Linked DNA regions of Callithrix jacchus. The protein of the gene in region 2 binds, or shares a complex with, the protein of the main gene of each other region. Links are inferred from orthologs where the notes say so. Each region holds a gene or a part of one and is shown on either strand. Other genes may lie near its edges.

Region 1 (4,982 bases), on a different chromosome or scaffold from region 2:
TCGTGCCCCGGGGGTCTCGGGGTCTCTCCCCGTCCTCCGGCGCCCTCGCGCGCTCCCGACGACTGCCCCGTGCCCACCCCGGGGCGCGCCCCCGCCTCTCCCAACTTCTCCCAACTCAACTTTCCCCCGCGCCTCGGGCAGGCCAGCCCCCTGCGTGCGCGCCCCCCGGCGCACCGTGCGCGGCCCCGCCGCGGCTGCTGGGGAGGAGGGAGCGGGGGCCGAGAGCAGGGGCCGAGGCGGGGGCGCGCTTCCAGGCACAGGCCGGCACTAGGAACCGCCCCCGCGTCCCTCTGCCCTGAGATTCTCTACTCGGGGCTCAGGCGTCCGGGGGATTCCGTCTCTTGGCTCAATTACTGCACCTCTGAGTGGAAAAGATCCCGCCTCGCGCTGGGGATTCCAGGCAGGAAAACGCAGGCACAAGGATGGCCAGGAAATTCGGGGCGGAGGAAGTCGAAATAGAAACGTACCGGGGTCGAGATTCTCTTCCGCCCCCCGCTCTCAAATAACCCCCGTACGTCCAAGAAAGTCCAGTGCCTCCAAGAAAGCCTCAGGTGGCGAGCGGGTGAGAAGGGTGGCTGCCCAGTACCCGCTCAGTACCTGAGCTGACCTGGGAGAGGGCAACTTGTTAGGCGCCCCCCCCACTTCCTGAGAGGGACAGAGATTCCCTGTGGTGGCCTCCTTACTCTTGAATGGAACCTTCACACTGAATCAACCCTAGCCATAGCCATCATTTATCATTCAAGACCTTTGTGTGTAGTTTTTGTTTACCCAACGAAATCACCAAGTCTTCCAGATAAGGCATATACTTTTCGCTTCTTTTCTCCAGTCGGCCACGTGAAGCATAGCATTGTGTATGCAAAAGCGTTCAGATAAAAACGAGTTAGTTAATACGTGTTTGGCAGCAACTCTGATTCCGATGCTGAGGAGCGCTGTTTGGGATCCTTTTCCCTCAGTCCATAGCCCTCAAGAATGCAATCATGAGACAATTAGAGAGGCAATGCAACGGAATCTATAATCAACTCCTTTAAGGGATGAGGTAGAGGCTGGTGCAAGTTGAGCACCTGTCTGTGGTCTTGTCTGTGGAGGGGGTTAACCAACCTGCCGGCCACACCCTGGCTGACTCCAGTGGGCCCTGCTCCGGAGACTGGGGTCTAGGGAGACCCCCCCCCAGGGCTCCACCCAGCTAGCCTCAGCATATCAGAGTTCAGCGGCTGGAGTCGAGTGAAGGCTGAGACAACAAACGGGGTGCAGCGGAGAGAAGGGTCTTTGGAGTGTACCCCTTCACTAAAAATCCAGCCTCAAAAAGGCACACCTGTTATATTTCCAGCCCTGCCGTCAGCTGTTCCCTGTGAGGTCATCATCGCTCAAAGGCACTCCCCAGTCAATCTTGGGGTCACTAGGTGGCTTGGGGAGAGGTGGAAACCTGTGCTGAGGTCGTCAGGAGGCCGTCGGGAACTCAAGGCCACCAACAAGGTCAGAGTTGGGCCGCCAGGGCCCGGGCTCTAGGCCGCCAAACGCCAAACCCCAAACCCCTAAGGGACAGCGCTCCGCCCCCATCCCCGCTGCATTCTGGAACGCGTAGTCCCGGAGCGGCCCTTTTCAAGAGGTCTGGGAACACATAAAAGAAATAACAACAGCGGGGCACACTGGGAACCGCAGCGCAGCGGCGGGGCGCCCGGAAAACGGACACGCGTGGCTCCCTGGGACTTGAAGTCCAGGGTTTGCCTCCGCGTTGGAACCAGAGCCCGGGAGTCAAGTGCTGCAGAGAGCCTGAGCGCAGCCGGCTGGGGGTTGTAGTTTTCTTGTCCTCGGCCTCGGGAACTGCAGGGAAACCTTGTCGTCTTAGGACTACAAGCCCCAGAAGGCCGTGCGCGGGCAGGCGGGGCGGGGCTGGAGGCTGGGGTACCGCCTCCTCTGCAACGCCAGGGCCAGAGTCTTAAAAACCGAGGGCCCGCAGGGTCCCCGCGGCCGCCGCGATGCAGAAATACGAGAAACTGGAAAAGATTGGAGAAGGTAATGGAATCTCGAGATGTTCCTGCAAGAGCTCCTCTGCATACCCTTCGGCATTCCTTGCAGCCCTGGCTTTCTTACCGTCAGCAGTACCTACAGGCTCCGACCTCAACAGCGGCTGCAGCCCTGGCCCCCCGAGCTCAGCACTCCATCCAGACACCAATCTTCCCGTGTTAGCATTTCCCGTAGGCTCCCACTCCAACCTTAGCGTTCCCAGTAGACCCGACCTCCCAACCGCGACACTTCCTGAATTTCTCACCCTAGCCTCAGCACCACTTGGACAACCTCACCCCGACCCCCAGCCTCGGTTCTTGCTGCAGACCCTCAGTCCTCTCCCAGACACCTCCTCACTATTTCCAGACCCTTCATTATAGTGAGCACTGCCTTCATTATAGACATCCTTGCCTGGCAGCCGCAGTCGTCCTGCCGAGCCCCTGGAGCCTCCGCAGGCACCTTCTCCCTCCCCACCTGCCACATCCTCACTCATAAAGCTCTCCCACCTGCCTTCACCCTGAATCCCTTCCCTTGCACACTCAGACGCTGCCTTCACCTCCCAGGGGGAGGCATTTCCTGGGTTAGGGAAGAGTGCGCCATCCTCTCCCCTGACCCCTGACCTCCTTCCCCTAGGCACCTACGGAACAGTGTTCAAGGCCAAAAATCGGGAGACGCATGAGATCGTGGCTCTGAAACGGGTGAGGTTGGATGACGATGATGAGGTAGGCTGCGGACTGGGATAGAGGCTGGGGAGGGGGTTGAAGGCCTGGGCTGGGTGGGATCTGACTGTTGCCCACCTGGCCCCCTCACACATGCAGGGTGTGCCGAGTTCAGCCCTCCGGGAGATCTGCTTACTCAAGGAGCTGAAGCACAAGAACATCGTCAGGTGTGCGGGAGGTGTGGCTGCTTGGGGGAGGTGGGGGCTGACCTGGGACATTTGTCAGGAAGACGTGCCTGGCTGAGCCCTTCTTTTGCCCTAGGCTTCATGATGTCCTGCACAGTGACAAGAAGCTAACTTTGGTTTTTGAATTCTGTGACCAGGTGAAAGGCGGGATTTGGGGGACAGTAGCCTTGGGAAGGTATAGGGGCCCAGACTGAGGTTAAACTCTGTCCCATTCCTCCACTCATATCCCTTTTTAGGACCTGAAGAAGTATTTTGACAGTTGCAATGGTGACCTCGATCCTGAGATTGTAAAGGTGAGGAGAGTGTTGGGGGACCCCTCAGGCTGGGGTCTAAGTCTGCCTTCAGTGTAAGCACTCCTTGGGCACCAAGTTTGGGCCCTGAACAGGCACGCTCTAGGGTGTCAGAGGAAGAGAAAACCCTGTTTCTGCCCCGCAGGGGCCTCCTAGAGAGCATTTTCACGTGGTTGTCTTTGACCTGCACAGTGGCTCTCAGACACCAATCTGGCCACATTAGAGGGACATCATATGATGTTGACATCAGTAACATCAATGATATTTACACCCGAGAGATGAGAAAATGAGGTTCAAGGAGATACATTCATTCATTCAACACATACTTACTGAATGCTTCACTGGGTGTCAGGTGCTTTTCTGGGCCCAAGATCAAATGCCTTGGTCCAGGTTCCAGGAGAGCCAGTCCTGAATGATACTACACCATGATATTGATGTGGATGGTCATGGTGTGCATACTCAGATGCATCCAGGAAGGGAAGATCATGGGCTGGGATCTAGGCAAGATCTAGGACCCACTGGGCAAGGCCCATTAGGCTGTATGGTTCAGGAAGGTGGGGACCAGGGCCAGCTTGTTTACTGTTGTCCCTCAAATGCCTAGCACAGTACAAAGCAGGTCCTGGATGGCAAATGAATGGTGTCACTCTGAGCCAGGTGCTGGAAGGTGGGTGGAGTGTAGTGAAGCACAGGGTGAGGAGAGGAGCCGGCCAGTTGCTGGCCACAGTTATGTTCAGGGTGTCTGACTCCCTGCTCCCTGCTCTTCCCCCAGTCATTCCTCTTCCAGCTGCTAAAAGGCCTGGGATTCTGTCATAGCCGCAATGTGCTGCACAGGGACCTGAAGCCCCAGAACCTGCTAATCAACAGGGTACTTTTGGGAAGAAGGTGGGGAAGGGGAGGCTAGGACCAGGGCCTGGGGGAACAGGACTGGGAGGATGGAGCCTGTGCTGCCCCAAGGCTGCTCAAAGGCCCTTCGCCATGTTCCCTTTCCATTCCCCTCAGAATGGGGAGTTGAAATTAGCTGATTTCGGCCTGGCTCGAGCCTTTGGGATCCCTGTCCGCTGTTACTCAGCTGAGGTGAGCTGGCAGCTGGGATGTGGTGTTGAGGGAGGGAGCCCCTCAGCTCCTACCCCAGGACCCAAAGCATTATTTTCCTCTCCTCTCTGAGCTTCCTCCTTGAACCTCCTCCCCAGCCCTCTAAGTGGGAGGTCCCTGTCGGGGGGGGTCTCCTCCAGGTGGTTACACTGTGGTACCGCCCACCGGACGTCCTCTTTGGGGCCAAGCTGTACTCCACGTCCATCGACATGTGGTCAGCCGGCTGCATCTTTGCAGGTGATGTGCTTGGGCACTGCAGAGGCACCTTCTTTCCCATTTGGGTTGACAAATAGGATCTGGAGGGTCTCTGCTGGGGAAAGGAAGGGAGGCCCTGGGACGGGCTGGAAGGTCAGGAGTCCCTCAGAGTGAGGGGTCCTTCACATGTCACATCTTAGCCCCTCTCTTTCCTCCAGAGCTGGCCAATGCTGGGCGGCCTCTCTTTCCCGGCAATGATGTTGATGACCAGTTAAAGAGGATCTTCCGATATCCTTCCATTTTCCTCTGCCTCGAGCCCTCTGGGAGGGGAGAGCCCATGGAGTTTTAGCGCAATGGGCAAGGGCAGTGATGATATGGGGTGGGATGGTGGGGTCCATAGGGCTTCTCCTGAGGGCAAGGGGAGAGAGCAGGCGTGCTGGACGCCCTGATGGTCACAGAGCATATGCACACTGGAGAAGGTGCCACTTATAGGATGG
Region 2 (5,015 bases):
TGACAGAAATCTCTGAGTGGCACATAAGCAAAATCTATCACTTCCTGACTTGCTTGCAGCATCTTGAATGATGCCAGATTCCTTTTCTGTTCTTCCTAGGGCAGTTGACAGGGCTGGCGCAGGGTCAGGTCTAGTGGGCTGGAGTGGTCAGGGAATTGGGTGTCATCCTCTCCTCTGGAGTGCCACTCCCTCATCTCTAGGTTCAGAGACTATCTGCATTAAGACAGGGCTTAAGTCTCCTGTTTCCCAGGTTTGTGGTCAGTTTTGAATCAATCTCCAGAAACAAGGTAAAATAAAAATAGTAAATTAACAATGGTGAGATATCTGGATTCACATCTGACAGGAACAGCTCTTTTGGAACCAGAATTTTACTCAATTTGGCTAGCATCTTCTTACGTTATACATACTTAGAATCAAAACGTTTAAGAGGGTAAGAAGGCTGGTCGGAGAGTCAGTTGCTTCACCTTTAATATAACAAGAGGGTGAGTGGGAACTTCGAGGTCTTATTTGTGATGGGCTCAGGCTTGGCTCGTGGTTGGCTGGAACTGCTACGGGCCACGCTTCTCTGGCTTGGATTTCTGAGACTCACCCGGGCCGCAGGCATCTACCCAGGATGACGGAACGGAGGCCCCGGAGGGGTGGCCAAAACCGACTGGACTGTCCACTCGGGGTTCCCGTGGCACTCGGGCGGCCTCAGTAAAGGCCTCTCCTCTCCCCGCCCAGGGCCTTCTTCATTGCATTCCCTGGAAGCTTTCCCCAGGTACGGGAATGTCAGCTGTAAGGAGGGAGCTAGGGGCCCATTCCTCGGCGGAGCCCGCGGGCCGCCCGCGGCCAGGGCGGGGACTTAGCCGAGAGCTCCCCCGCGGCCGGCAGCTGCGGGCGCCGCGGCGGGAACAAAGGCAGCACGTGTCTGGGCGGGGCGCGGGCGGGGTCGGCTCTCGGCCCCGCCCTGCGCGGCGTCCGCCCCGCGTCGGCAGAGTTGGGTTGTGCGGGCGCCCAGGACTCGGTGGCGGTGCTGCTGCTGGGCGGCGGCGCAGAGCGGGCGGTGAGCTGTGCGGGAGGGGCGGCCCCGAGGGGCGGGGCGGTCGAGCGCCCCGTGTCCCGCTGCTGCCGCCGAGTCTGGCTTTTAGATGGGGCCCGGCGCCTAGAGGCCTCCCGCTCGCCGCCGCGTTCTACCCGCACCGTGCGCGGCCAGAGCTGAGGACACTCACGGCCGCGGCTCCCCGGCAAGACCAGGCCGGCGCGTGGACGGTGCGCGCGCCCGGCGAGGGAGGGCGCTGAAGCGCGCGCCGGGAACGGGAGCGGGAGCGCGAGCGCGGCGGCGGCGGTGGCGGCGGCGAAGGTGCGGGCGGCCGAGCGGGGGGCGGGGCCGCGGCGCCTGCAGAACCTTGGACAGAAGCTCCCGAGCCGCCGCCGCCGAGAGCGAGCCCCGCCGAGCGCCCCCGAGCGCCGCCCAGCGCCGGGACCGCGGCGGCAGAACCGCGGCGCGCATTGCGGAGGGCGCGGAGCGCAGGAACCGCCGCCTGCCGGGTAAGCCTGTGCTGGGCGGCCGTCCTTGGCCCCGGGGAGTGGGGACCAGGGTCGCGGCCGCGCGGGGTGTCGAGGCGGGGGTCCTCGGCCGCCTCCGTTGGCGCCCGGGCCCCTCCCGGCTGCGCCTGGGGACCGCAGCGGCGGCGGCGGGCGGGGGTGCTGCAGTGGAGGCGACGAGGCTGCGGCGCGGGGGCGCGGGCAGGGCCCAGGACTGGGGTCGCGGGGGCCGACGAGGCGCTGGGCGGAGGGGCGCGGCGTGGAGCCCCGCCTGGCGTTGAGAACCATCTTGTTTTCCAGGCAGATCCGAGGGGCAGCACGCGTCCCGGGAGCGCCCCCGTCTCTTTCCGGGGCTGCCACAGGCTCGGTGAGCGGTTTTTTCCCTCTGGCTGGCAGGCTGGGCGCGCAGGGGCGCGAGCCCCCGCCCGGCGCGCAGCGACACCATGGGCACGGTGCTGTCCCTGTCCCCCAGCTACCGGAAGGCCACGCTATTTGAGGATGGCGCGGCCACCGTGGGCCACTACACGGCCGTGCAGAACAGCAAGAACGCCAAGGACAAGAACCTGAAGCGCCACTCCATCATCTCCGTGCTGCCGTGGAAGAGGATCGTGGCCGTGTCGGCCAAGAAGAAGAACTCCAAGAAGGTGCAGCCCAACAGCAGCTACCAGAACAACATCACGCACCTCAACAATGAGAACCTGAAGAAGTCGCTGTCGTGCGCCAACCTGTCCACATTCGCCCAGCCCCCACCGGCCCAGCCGCCCGCACCCCCAGCCAGCCAGCTCTCGGGCTCCCAGACTGGGGGCTCCTCCTCGGTCAAGAAGGCCCCTCACCCTGCCGTCACCTCCGCAGGGACGCCCAAACGGGTCATCGTCCAGGCGTCCACCAGCGAGCTGTTGCGCTGCCTGGGTGAGTTTCTCTGCCGCCGGTGCTACCGCCTGAAGCACCTGTCTCCCACGGACCCTGTGCTCTGGCTGCGCAGCGTGGACCGCTCGCTGCTTCTGCAGGGCTGGCAGGACCAGGGCTTCATCACGCCGGCCAACGTGGTCTTCCTCTACATGCTCTGCAGGGATGTTATCTCCTCGGAGGTGGGCTCAGATCACGAGCTCCAGGCCGTCCTGCTGACCTGCCTGTACCTCTCCTACTCCTACATGGGCAACGAAATCTCCTACCCGCTCAAGCCCTTCCTGGTGGAGAGCTGCAAGGAGGCCTTTTGGGACCGTTGCCTCTCTGTCATCAACCTCATGAGCTCCAAGATGCTACAGATAAATGCCGACCCACACTACTTCACACAGGTCTTCTCTGACCTGAAGAATGAGAGCGGCCAGGAGGACAAGAAGCGGCTCCTTCTAGGCCTGGATCGGTGAGCACTGTAGCCTACGTCATGGCTCAAGGATTCAATGCATTTTTAAAAATTTATTATTAAGCAAATCAGTTTTGTGTACAGTATGTGTCTAGCAAAGCCACCAAGGGCCTCACCTTTCCCACAGTCTCTCCCTGGGGTTTTTTTCAGCCCTGCCAAGAACTCTGGGCACTTTTGAACTCACGAGCCTTGAGCAAAACCCAGAAGATGTATTCAGAGCCACCCGGGCCACTGACCTCCCACTTTTGGGAACTCAAAGGACTGACCTGCTCCTACCGTCTGTGCCCTCGCTGGATCCAGGTTGGGCAAGGCTGCCTGCTGCACCCTGGCTGAAGCTGGAGAGGGACCTCTGGCTGCCTGGCCCAGGGAGGAAATTGGGATTTCTGGTTGGAGGCCCTTTTCTGGCTCCTGTGTGGAGTTGTTCATTCTCCCAGAGGCTCCTGGAGCCAGACTCCCTCACTGAGCCACCAGTAGGGTTGTGAGGCAAGATCTCTGCCTCTGGGACATCTTCAATCTAGGCGAGGCAAAGCTGAGCAGGTCTAGTGCAAAGATTTGACCATGCATCATCCTGATTTGCTGTTTTTTAGGGAGAAGGGCTTTCCTTTAGTGGAGAAATGGAACTCGCCCCCCCTACCCCCTTGTCTGCTGCTCCCAGCCACATTGGTGGTATTGGCCAATGAGCTGGTTTGACTCATTAATTTCTCTCATTTTGGGTCCCAGCTAAAGAAGTGGGGTGAAGCTGGGGACAACTTTCCTGGGTGAATTTTTCTTTCGAATAATGCAGCGCAGTCACCCTGTGGCAAATGCCAGGACAGCTGCAGGTGCCCATTAGCAGCGCCTGCCTTCTAGGCAGGTGAGGGATGCTAGGCCTGAGACCAAGCTGGTGCCCACCTAAGGGCTCAGGCCTCTTGTTGGTGCACATGACGTTTGTCTTGCAGAGCTGGGGGTTAGGTGATGTGGTGACCCCACCCCCACCCTGTTAATTTAAAGCTGTTTCCAAACAGTTAAGTTTCTTCTAAAGAGGAAGCCTTGCCCGGCAAGGACCAGTGACACAGCCGGATCTTGGAGACAATTACCAGAAGGGAGTGAGACTCCTGATTGCTCTGGAAGTCTGCTGATTTCTACAACTGATCATTTGCAGCTGCTGGTTCTGGTTTCCACCTTACCCTACTGGCTGTAAAAACACAAGATGTGTACTTTATCGATTTTCTAATTCTCCCGTATTGGTGGCTTGGGACTTGGGAGAGGGAGCAAGCCTTCCTCCACGGCCCATCCCTCGGCTGTGGAGAACAAAGACGAATGTGAAGACGCTACAGAGAATTCTGTCTTCCAGGCCCAGTCCCCAGGGGAGTGCTGGAATGGGGACCTGGGGTGGGGAAGCAGAGGGTCACTTTTCATAGGATTAGGTTTGATGTGGCTACCAGTTTCAGCACAAGCACTACTGAAATTCACACAAAAAGAAAGCTGTGAAATTGAAGTCCCAATTTAAGAGGCCCGGAGCAGAACCTGGTTGCCGGAAGCATTCCCAGAGGTGGGGAGGAGTGCCTGCCCGGCCGGAGAGCATCTGCCTAGCTGCACCTGAGGCCCAGCAGAGCCGTTCCTGGGACTGTCAGATAATTGGTACGGCGCTGGAAGGAGCCTGTGGCTGCTGGCACAGACTTCACACAGCACCTCCTCTCTGCTGGGGTTTCCACACAGCCTGTCTTCAGATCCTGCTCCTGTGTGCGACCCGAGGTGGGAGGCCCCTGGTGGCATGGAAGAGGGAGGGTCGGTGCCAAGTCTCAGGAGGAGGGGGCATGTGTGTAGTCACCTTCAGCTGGTGGAACCTGGCCTGGAACTGTGCGGTTAAATTGCATCCACAGGATTCCAGTTTTGTGTCTGTTTCCTTCTCTTCGTATTTATTTTTTTATTCTTTGGAGGAGGTGGACATTTCTCGAAGTGGTTGGGGACTAAGGGAAGAACTCTCTAGTTCCCTCAGTGTGAAGCCTGTCTTGTTCTCTCCCCTTGCACTGGTCATCAGTATTGTGTAAAGGAACAACTGATAAATACTTGAGTGTGCAAGCAGTGAACCCATTTGCCATGCTGCTATGAAGACTACTTTCAGAACTACAATTAAAAAAACCTA

The links.
Region 1: the proteins of CDK5R1 (region 2) and CDK5 are in contact, whole or in part, in a crystal structure (PDB 3O0G), measured with the Homo sapiens proteins. The link is inferred for Callithrix jacchus from reciprocal best matches to the Homo sapiens genes CDK5R1 and CDK5. Residues at the interface, in NP_003876.1 of Homo sapiens: Trp190, Gln193, Thr197, Pro198, Ala199, Phe203, Tyr231, Leu232, Ser235, Tyr236, Met237, Gly238, Asn239, Glu240, Ile241, Ser242, Tyr243, Pro244, Leu245, Lys254, Glu255, Trp258, Asp259, Cys261, Leu262, Ile265, Asn266, Ser269, Ser270, Met272; in NP_004926.1 of Homo sapiens: Leu37, Asp38, Glu42, Gly43, Pro45, Ser46, Ser47, Leu49, Arg50, Ile52, Cys53, Leu54, Lys56, Glu57, Val69, His71, Leu76, Arg120, Asn121, Val122, Leu147, Arg149, Ala150, Phe151, Gly152, Ile153, Pro154, Arg156, Cys157, Tyr158.

What each region holds. Positions count from the first base shown.
Region 1 is NC_133512.1:97,154,462-97,159,443, forward strand, and holds the start of CDK5 (cyclin-dependent kinase 5), read left to right. Parts: upstream 1-1,930; 5' UTR 1,931-1,976; coding exon 1,977-2,013; intron 2,014-2,637; coding exon 2,638-2,726; intron 2,727-2,822; coding exon 2,823-2,890; intron 2,891-2,984; coding exon 2,985-3,045; intron 3,046-3,144; coding exon 3,145-3,201; intron 3,202-3,967; coding exon 3,968-4,063; intron 4,064-4,197; coding exon 4,198-4,272; intron 4,273-4,430; coding exon 4,431-4,527; intron 4,528-4,703; coding exon 4,704-4,773; exon of another isoform or gene 4,774-4,982. UniProt on the Homo sapiens protein: Proline-directed serine/threonine-protein kinase essential for neuronal cell cycle arrest and differentiation and may be involved in apoptotic cell death in neuronal diseases by triggering abortive cell cycle re-entry. Interacts with D1 and D3-type G1 cyclins.
Region 2 is NC_133506.1:101,619,917-101,624,931, reverse strand, and holds the start of CDK5R1 (cyclin-dependent kinase 5 activator 1), read left to right. Parts: upstream 1-1,493; 5' UTR 1,494-1,530; intron 1,531-1,827; 5' UTR 1,828-1,970; coding exon 1,971-2,894; 3' UTR 2,895-5,015. UniProt on the Homo sapiens protein: p35 is a neuron specific activator of CDK5. The complex p35/CDK5 is required for neurite outgrowth and cortical lamination. Involved in dendritic spine morphogenesis by mediating the EFNA1-EPHA4 signaling. Activator of TPKII.